Linked DNA regions of Caenorhabditis elegans. The protein of the gene in region 1 interacts with the protein of each later gene in a pairwise test. Each region holds a gene or a part of one and is shown in the gene's direction. Other genes may lie near its edges.

Region 1 (5,674 bases):
CCTATTGGCGATCGCATATGCTGCCGATGAGCAGAAAATCGATAAATTGCAAATTGGAGTCAAGAAGCGTGCCGAGAACTGCGTTCAGAAATCCAGGTAAGCTTACTCTTTTTAATTAAAATAAAAATGTTAAATTTACAGAAAGGGTGATCAATTGCACATGCACTACACCGGAACCCTTCTCGATGGAACTGAATTTGATTCCAGCCGCACTCGCAATGAAGAATTCACTTTCACTCTTGGACAAGGAAATGTTAGTTTTTAAAGAAAAAACCAATATCAATAATTAAAATTGAAATTATAGGTGATCAAGGGATGGGATCAAGGACTTCTTAACATGTGCGTCGGAGAGCGTCGTATTCTCACAATTCCACCACACCTTGGATACGGAGAACGTGGAGCCCCACCAAAGATTCCAGGCAACTCTGTCCTCAAGTTCGACGTTGAGCTCATGAAGATTGACAGAGACGGAGAAGAATTGTAAACGAACTACGGATATTTAGAAAACGTGCCTTTTGTAACTTATTCATGTTCTCAGAGTATAATTTTTTTTTGCAGTTTTTTTTTTTGTCTTTATAAACATGCCCATTCTATATATTTGGACCGTCTGCGGCCATTGATCACAACCGCGTCTCGCTTCTCTTTATCACCTTGTATTGCACTCTGTCAGCGAAAATGATAGGGTGTGCGAGACATTTATCAATTTCCATACACCTTTTTCTCTTCTTACCTAGTAATGCCTTGCTTTCTTAGTTTTTAAGAATGATTATTTTAATCTGAAAATCTGGAATCAACAGTTTCGTAAATATTAGAATTCAAGTATGTGGTTCCTCTGTAAATAAAAAGCACGAATCGAAAAAGGAAATGCATTTTTGAAAATGTCGAACAATAAACAAAAAATTGGAATTCTATTAGTAGAAACCCAATTAAAACTGGCATCCATGAATTATTGCACCAACGATCCGAATGCTTCTTTTCTCTTTTTTTTTGTTCATGCTCCATCCTAACAATAGTTATAAATTGAGGTCGATTCTTGCTCTTCGTTGTCTTCTCTCAACACACGAGTAAATTGAGTATTCCTTGAGAGCCTCCTGTGAGAGTATTTGTGAGCCTTGTATTTCCTTTCTCTCACTGCTTTCTTCTTCAGTTTTGATGTATAAAAGTATGAATAATAAAACTGACATTTCGCACTGAAAATTCAACGTGGTTTCGGGAGTAATATTTGCATAATCCGTCTTCTTGAAACCAACGGAGCGTGATGGAAATTTGATAGGACTCGATATTTTCTCTAGAATTTTGAACTTGGTTTTTTGAATTCTCTATTTTTTTGAGATCTATGATAATCTAACGCTTTTTCTGTTTGCCTACGCTTTTCGTTTTTTTTGTGTTTCTATTGACAGGCTCCCATCCCATCATTTTTCGGTGTCTGCTACTGCGACCACCACTGACAGATGTGTCATTTTCTGCATTTTTTTTTCTGTTTTCCGAATATTGATTTCTATTCGATTTTTGAGGATTAAGAATAAATCATAAAATATTAAATTATTGGTAACTGCAATTGCGACCATTTTCGGAAATCGGTTTGAAACAAGCAAAAATAATTACCGAAGCTATATAATAAAAACCACTCATAAAACGAAGTTTCTCAAATATTTGTCGGAATTTTTCTTTTTAATTTGTAAAAAATTAAAGTTTCCAAAGAAATACCGCAGATTAAAGGCGCTGCCAATTAAATAATATTATTTTCTTTTTTCAGATTTGCAAATACAACAATGAAAGTCGCGTCGAGACCATTACAAAGTATTCTAGATGCGCCTTTAAAGTTACTGTAGGGACTTTTTGTTTTCTCTTTTCGATTTTTCTACGAATGCTTTGAAACTGTTTATTGTAGAATTTTAATGTATTTTAATCAGTTTTTGCTCTTAAATAGAGTAATTCCCAATAATTTTGTATCAAATTTTACCATTATCTACAGAAATTCGTCGGTTTTTCAATACATGCTGTCTATTATTCGTTTTCAACCCCATACAGTAATATTTTTCAGCTTTCAAACAAATAAAAAGAAAAACACAACAATTCTTCATCGATTTGCGAAGAAAAACTGCTGATCGAAATTAGTATTTATACTAAACAAGCGTCTGGAAAGTTTGTATATGACGAAGGACCACTGAAAGCAAGAGAAAATAGAGAAATCCAAGAAATATTGTGACGCGTTGTGGAGACCCAGGACGTTAGGGGAAAGAAGACGAGAAGAAGCAGCGAGGAGCCATGGTTCAAACACTGAGAAGACCGTGGCAAGAAGCGGCAAGCAGTGCTTTTGCCGTCGCCAGTGCTCTTCCGGTGACTATGAATAGTACACAAATTGCTGAGCTCTTCGAACAGGTTATATTTTATAATTATTAATAAATTTTAAGGAAACATTTTGAATCTCAATATGCTAATCTGAATTTAATACGATTAGAAATACTTTAATCGTCAAAAAAATCAATTTTCAAAAACCAAAATTGACAGAATGCTGTTTTATTTCGAAATTTAAGAATAAAGAAAAGTAATCACATCTTCCTAGAAATAAAACAAAGAAAATATCCTTTGAAGATCTTTGTTCAAAGAAAAACACTGAAAACATAAATTTTATTCATTTTTTTTTAACTTTGAAATGATTCCAGGTTGAGCATGGCACCACAGAACTCAGATGTGCACTCACCGCAGAAATATCAGCTCTCAGAAACGCTGTAAGTGCTCGAAATCGAATAAATTATTTCAAAAACAAATTTCAGAATGGAGAATCACTTCTCACAGTTGCCGTTCGATCAGGAAACACAGCAGTTGCCAAACAATTAGCACAATTGGATCCAGACGCAATTGATGAAACTGACAATGTAAGATTTCTGAAATAAAATATTTGAATACTCCAAAAAATTAATGAGCCATTTGATTTTTTTTCGAGTTGAGTTTAAAAAAAATCCTTATTCAAAAGCTGAATTCTTTTTTCAACTGAAAATTATTTCAGGAAGGTTGGAGTGCTCTTCTGAATGCAGCTCACTGTGGTCATGTTGACATTGTTCGATTATTAATTGATAATGGAGCATCTGTTGATCAACCTGATTTAATGGGATGGAGTCCTCTTATGTGGGCAGTTTATAAAAATCATTTAGATGTGGTTGATCTACTTGTTAACGCAAAAGTAAGTTATATATATATTTAATTAGAAAAACAACGATTTTTGTTACCGGCTCATGTAAATCTTATTGACGAAGAAGACGGACTCACACCGTTAATTGTAGCTTCTGGACGTGGATTTTCACAAATTGTAGAGCGATTAATTGATTCAGATTGTCAGGTTGGATTTTATTTGAAAAAAGGAAGTATTCGTATAAAAAAATTTCTAAATAGTCAGAGCTTCTCGTTTTCAATGTTTTTGCTATAAGAATTTATTCCAAAAATTTTTGTATCAAATTTTCAATATAATTCCAATTTATTTTTATTTATATTTTTAGGTAAATGCCTGTGACAAATTCGGAAGTACTGCATTAATTTGGGCAGCTCGAAAAGGACATCTTCCTGTTGTACAACTACTTTTAAATTCTGGAGCTGAGGTGGATGCAGTTGGAATGGTAATTTTTTTAGTTATTTTGAATCCTGAAACTAATTTCAATTACAGTACTCATCCACAGCTTTAATGTTGGCAACACGTGGAAACTTTATTCAAGTAGTTGAGCTTCTTCTGACACGAGAACCAAATGTTAATGTAGCTGATCAAAATGGTTTGACAGCTCTCGGAATGGCAGCTCGTGATGGATATGCTGATATATGTGAATCTCTTATTAATTCGGGTGCTTTTGTGAATCAGTGTGATAGGTATTTTTCTAATTAGTTTTTGACTTCAACATAAATGAAATTTGCAGATTTGGAAACTGGATTCTTACGTCAGCAGTTCGAAGTGGAAATGCGGCAATTGTTAGAATGATTCTCGACAAATTTGCTGATATCAATTGTCAAGACTCTGTAGGATTTAGAATTTAAGCATTGATAAAATAAATAAAAAAGTTCAGGAAAAACGGACACCACTTCATCTGGCCATCGATAAATCATTCAATGATATCGCCTACATTTTATTGGAGAAAAAACCGAATTTGGAACTGAAAAATAAGGTGAGGAACAAGGAGATATAATTTTTCGATTTTTTAATGTTTTTTTAAAGAAAAAGTTTGACAAAATGTTAAGAAAATTCAAAATTCCATCAAAATTGTAAAAACCGAAATTTAAAGCTTTTTTTTTTCGAAATAATCTTTTTTTTTCAGAATATTGAAAAACAAAAAAAATTCAATTTCGATTTTTCAAAAAAAAAAGGAAATTAAATTAAAATTATCGGAAAAATCTCCTGGAAACTATTGATTAAATATACTGACTATGAACATATGTTTATTTCAATTTTAAAAAAATTAAAAAAGTTTACCTAATCAAAGAATATATTGAAAATTTGAAAATTTCCCCCGAAAAATCAAAGAATTGAAAATCTGAAATGTATGATTTTTTTGATATTCAGAAAAATTGAAAAAATTCTCTATTTCTATTTTCTAGGACGGTGAAACTCCACTTCTTCGTGCTGCTAAATGTCGTCATGTACATCTGTGTACCTACTTGATGAGTTTCGGAGCTAAACTCGCTGCAGTTGATAATTGTGGAGATAATGCACTTCATTTGGCACTGAGAGCACGTAGTCGACGATTAACACAGGCACTTTTGTGTGAGTATTAATTTGTTTTGTAGATATTTTAAAAAATTGAGATTTTTACAGCCAATCCATCAGATTCTCGGTTACTGTACCGACCCAATAAGCTTGGTCAGACACCGTATTCCATTGACTTATCAAATCCTCAACCTATTCTGCCACTAATTTTTGGACCAATTGATGCGGAAGATAAAATGGATACAGCTATGGGATATGATGTATATTCTAATGTTTTAGCTGATATTGGTAAATTCCCGATATTTTCAATGAATTCATTGAATTTACTATTTTCAGTGTGTGAACCTTCTCTTTCTCTTCCACTTACAATTGGACTTTACGCCAAATGGGGATCCGGAAAATCAGCACTTCTCGCAAAATTGAAAGAGGCAATGCACAGTTTCTCAAGGGATTGGCTTGATGGAGTTTCGCTTTCGTATGTTTAAACATTTTATATAGGAAATTTTATTTTTTAAAAGTTGAATATTTCAGAGTTTCGTTTGCCTTATTCTTTGCCATATTCCTCTTTTTTGGAATGTTCTCACTAACTTTTACAATGCTCATTGCCATTTCTAACTCAGTCACAGCATATCTCATCTCATGGTCCGTCTTTCTTCTCATTTTCATCATATTCTGTTCACTGATTGTTGTGGTTTATTATGGGGATCGCAAGAACTGGTATACTTCAATGGATGTAAGATTTTTTATATTATCTGAAAACAAAACTTTCATTTTTTCACACATTTCAGATAGCCAATTTTTTTGCACGGGTGTTCAGTCGGATCCGATTGGTTTACAACATTTTAACACTTCATGCACCGATGAACAGTGAAGATAGTGCAAGTATGCCTGTTAGGTATGATTTTGTAGATTTGCATTAAAAAATTTTATCTTGAAAATATTACGTTTCAAACCAAAAGACACATTTTGGAAATTTTCAGTTTT
Region 2 (4,603 bases), 1.4 Mb from region 1:
GATTGCAGTGGTGGCGCATCAATGAAGAACTCCTCGAAGAAACGATCGTCTTGTGGCTCCATTTTGACCATTTGTCTGGGCTTGTTGACACTTCCACGTGGACGTCCACGAGCTTTTTTGGCGCCTGAAAAATGATATGTTTCCAGAATACTGGTAGTTATACAAAAGGAGCTAGTTTTAGAATGTTCTAGCAATATAGAATAATGTTTCCTTTATCTGAAAAAACTTATATTTAAGTTGGAATAGTTGAAAAGATGCTCACAAATCTCAAACTTTGAGACAATATTTGAGCACTTTTCCGATTGTTCCAACTAAAATATAAGTTATTTTTAGACATAACAAATATTATTCCTAAATTTTAATGAAAAATATTGAGAGAACATGTCAAAACTAGATCCTTTTGTAGAATTATCGGTCGTACTCTTTCTATTATCATCATTATCCGCCTCTTTTCCAGCCATCTCATTTTCGATCTCATATTTAAGTTGTCCGGCTTCAGATGTTCTCTTGGACTTCCGAGCTTGAAGCACCTCTTCAGATGGAGCATTCACATAATTTCTGCTTTGACACTTTCCACTGCATCGATTCATATGCTCGTAGAAGTCGATGGTCATTGCTTCCATGTGAGTTCTAGAATATAAAGTTTTGAGAAACAGAAGTATTTTAAGGGATTATTGTCTTGATGCTCACCTCAACGAAGATCTTCCAACACGGATGCTCGCCTTCCAATCTTTCTGACGCTCTTTGTCGCCACGGATTGTGAACTGCTTCGGAGAAAGAAGATCGTCTGAAAATAATTATATTATGAGACCCATTTTAAATTATCTGAAATAAATAAAATAACGAACTTCCCACTTCAATACACGGCTGATGAATCCCAGGGCACATGAACAGGTTGAGATGCATCTTTCCATTCACGACACCACAGGAAACTGGCACAGTCGGTGACGCATCTCCTTCGGGAATTGTGATCTGCAGTGGTGTTATAGGGCGCGGAAAATCGTCGTTTGCCGGATGCTGTAAAAATATGAATTATTAAAGCGATGTAATTATGAAAAAGTAGCTGAAACTCACTCCATACAAAATTTGATAAACATTCCTTTGACTCTCTTGGAATGGAGTCATCGTGGAATGATGATGATCAGATCCTTCGGCTTGAAATCCATCACATGATCCAGAAATCGGATGAGACGGCAACACGGAAGCAGCGCTCACGTCTCCACCGAACATTTTGACGTTGCTTTGCAATCCGAATAAAACCGTGAGTCGGGCGGGCCGTTGCAAAGTTCGCCACGTTTCACGTTAACACGTAAAGATTTCCGCGTCATTCTTTTTTTCATCTTTTTGGTACCACTTCCGATAAGCTGAAATTTCTTATTATTTTCGTTGGCAGATAAATAATGAATTTTTTGTTTTAAGAATATTTATTCAAGAGAAATGGTTTCAAAACGGGAAGAATCCAACTTTTCAGAGAGTTTTCTTTAATTTTTTACAACAAAAACACAATTTTCACACTAAACAACAGTTATTTAAATTAAAAATCACAAGTTGAACACTTTAAACGCGAAAAATAGTGAAAAAGTTCATAAAAAAGCAAAAGTGTGAAAATAATTGCAGAACAGAATTTTCTACAGTAACCTTAAAGGCGCACATACGAAATCGCGCGGCGCGTGGCGACACCATTTTACGATATTGGTCCTCCCTTGAACCTTCTGAAATCAGAAAGTTTTACAGTAATTGTAACATCACAAGATAGGAAAAAATGAAGAAAATAAAAAATAAAAAAGTCAAGAATTTTAGGATTGCAATTCAAAGGTTTTTACCGATCTTTTTAAAAAATAATGAGAATTTTGTTACTAACTATGATCTTTCATTTGATAGTATTAGTCATTAAAAAAAAACACACAGATCACCTTAAGTTTAAGAATACAATGAAAAATTAAGCAAAAAAATTCGTTGAAAACATTTTTTAATGCTCGTAAAATTGCTCCAAGGTTGATTTTGCCTTTTACATTTAATGATTTCAAATTTTGTAGAGGTCAATGTTTTTATGAGAGACTCGTAGGGACGGATTTTTTTTATTTGAAAGTTCAGATAGTTGAAAATATTTTTTTATATTTTTTTTTGTTAGAAACAAAAAATAATATTTTTACTTTAAAATAGAGTTTTTTAGACGAAAAAGTGATTACGTGACATGACCTTTGGGCCTTGTTTTTTATGGCCTAATTAATTCAGCATAAAAGGTCCAGATTTCGTCAGTTTTGTTCATATTTCGTCCGAAATCTTGAATCAATCGTCTTTTGAATCGCCAAAGCAGCCAAGAAGCAAAGGAGCAGAAGCATGGGTTCCGAGAAGATGATCGAGATCTGTATCGATATGGAAGAAGGAGAACCACTTGGTGCAACTCCGAATGACAAGCTTGTCATCACTAAAATCCAGGCTGGAACTATTTCCGAAGGAAAGTTGAGAGTAAGTTCTACAAAAGTTTAACCATTATTCTATGAAAAGTTTTATAGATTGGTGACCAAGTCAAAAAAGTCAACGGGCAAAACTGCAAAGATTGCAATGACTTTTTCCGTGCACTTCGCTTTGCAGCTCCATGTGCAAAAATTATGGTGAACCGCGATGAGAAGAAGGCCGAAGAGTTGGAGGCTCGTGTTCATATTCCTGAAGATCGTGCAAAGATCATTCAACGCCGTGAAGGATACGTCTATGAGTTGGCAACTCTTGTTTGGGTTCAAAATGGACCAAAACTTGGTTTGGGAATCAAGCATTTCCAGGTAAGAAATCAATCAAATCAAATAAATTCTAGGAAATTCATATATCTATTTCAGAATCGTGTGCTTGTCTCCCGTGTTGATCCTGGATCACTCGCCGAAAAGTGTCTCGTTCTTGGAGATCACTTGTGTGATGTTGATGGTATTCCAGTCAGTGACAAGGATGTTGCCAGAGACCTTCTCGTCAAGAACATTCAAGAAAAGGGAAAAGTCACTTTCGTCGTCGAGCGTCCCGATTCGATTGATGCCAAGCAATGGGCAAAGCAGGCATTGGCAACCAATCTTATGCAGCCACCATCTGTGCAAATGAACGAGGATGTGAAGGGCATTGCGTCTCAATACCGTCAAGCTCTTCCAGGATTGAAGCCTCCAGCAAAGAGTGCTATGTCTACTGGTCCAAGCGCTCGTCGCGTTTCAATTGTCGAGCAAACTCAAACACATGAAATCGGGCATGATCATGAGGGAAAAGCTCTTCGCAAGGTCAAGTGATGTGCCAGCAAGATGCCAGAAATCGCAACGTCTAGCTCGAATAAAAATTTTGTTTGAATCGCTTCTGCTGATTTATTTTGTTTTATATGTTCGAATACAGATAGTTTTTTGGGTATGTGAAACGCCCACAAAATGGCTCCTTTTAGGCAGGAGTGGTCAAAATACTACCGTATTGCAGACGATTTTTGTTTGAAAGTTGTTTGAATTTCTGAAAAAGGCAGAATGTGGTTACAGCAAGTCTCTATTAATATCAGCTCGTTTACTCCACGTGTTCCTCGTTTACCAAAAGCCCTGACCATGTTTTAGTGGCCCAGAAGAAAGTCTAGTTCTGGCTTACCGTAGCCTTAACAAGAGTTGAAAAGCCATAACTTTTGATGGCATAGGAAGTACCCACAACACTGAGCCTCTCGCAAACAACTTGCTTTGCTCCACCTTCAACGCTTTCATTTTGAGAAGCTTTTGATTGCAAAATAAATGGTAATAAATTGTTTTTTTTTGACATTTTTTTGTTGAAAAAACAATTTATATTAACTTCTTGAACCCATAATAAAATCAGCAATGTTAAAGGCCTTCCTATGCCTAGTTTCTGCATTTCTGCGCCAAATTTGGTGTCTGTGTCTTGACAGATAAATACATGGTGCATCGTGCAAAGATTCACCTACTGGCAGGTAACATGCCATTGCAACTAATCTAAATTATCTTATTAACAAACTTTCATTCAACTTTTGAATAAAAAAACGTGATGATCTCACGTTTTCAAAAAACATTCTAGTGCTTATCGTGATTTTCTCGATTATTCCTAGCTATTTACAATATTTCTTCCAACTTTCGTGCCTCAAATCATGAGCAAACCTGGTTAGTTTTGAACGCTTTTTAATGAAATTTTTGAAACTTTTTTTCAGAAAGTGTTCAAGAATCCCTTGATACAATCACATTTATTCACTCTTTTCAAATTACGACCACCAAGGTTGAGCATATGAAGCCGAAACGTTTTACCACGGTCCATCAGTACTCGCTGATTAATTGGTAGGTGATCTCACAGTTCTAGGGGATAGAGAAAAGGGGAGATGGAGATATGTGGGAACTGAAATTTAGTTTCACTCCCCCAGTCTCCCCAAGTGCCTACCTCATGTCTAACGTCTATTCACTTTGTCAGCAAAGAAGCAGTAAAAATTCATTTCGATTCCAGGGATATCGAAATATCGGTATCCCAAATACTTCAAGAACATCCCCAAAACCCTGAAGAACCGGTCGTCGAGAAGGTTTTTCGAATCAGTCTTTATCCAGCCGGACAACATCCTCTTCCTGTGCAGAAAGTGGAGTTCAAGTTAAGATTG

What was found. The genes of interacting proteins can lie anywhere in the genome.
Region 2: the proteins of kdin-1 (region 1) and smz-1 interact in a two-hybrid assay, tested with the Caenorhabditis elegans proteins (one large-scale study listed by BioGRID).

Annotation. Positions count from the first base shown.
Region 1 is NC_003282.8:11,036,618-11,042,291, forward strand, and holds the start of kdin-1 (KAP NTPase domain-containing protein), read left to right. Parts: upstream 1-2,268; coding exon 2,269-2,382; intron 2,383-2,406; exon of another isoform or gene 2,407-2,556; intron 2,557-2,666; coding exon 2,667-2,732; intron 2,733-2,777; coding exon 2,778-2,879; intron 2,880-3,010; coding exon 3,011-3,184; intron 3,185-3,232; coding exon 3,233-3,340; intron 3,341-3,497; coding exon 3,498-3,614; intron 3,615-3,661; coding exon 3,662-3,858; intron 3,859-3,905; coding exon 3,906-4,005; intron 4,006-4,052; coding exon 4,053-4,151; intron 4,152-4,581; coding exon 4,582-4,747; intron 4,748-4,798; coding exon 4,799-4,978; intron 4,979-5,026; coding exon 5,027-5,165; intron 5,166-5,221; coding exon 5,222-5,423; intron 5,424-5,478; coding exon 5,479-5,585; intron 5,586-5,670; coding exon 5,671-5,674. Other genes in the region: fkb-1 (peptidylprolyl isomerase), read left to right, coding at 1-96, 142-253, 305-484.
Region 2 is NC_003282.8:12,452,852-12,457,454, forward strand, and holds smz-1 (PDZ domain-containing protein), read left to right. Parts: upstream 1-2,198; 5' UTR 2,199-2,340; coding exon 2,341-2,469; intron 2,470-2,516; coding exon 2,517-2,780; intron 2,781-2,834; coding exon 2,835-3,266; 3' UTR 3,267-3,448; downstream 3,449-4,603. Other genes in the region: Transcription regulator spe-44, read right to left, coding at 1-124, 422-630, 691-787, 849-1,017, 1,075-1,230; C25G4.7 (uncharacterized protein), read left to right, coding at 4,109-4,121, 4,169-4,296.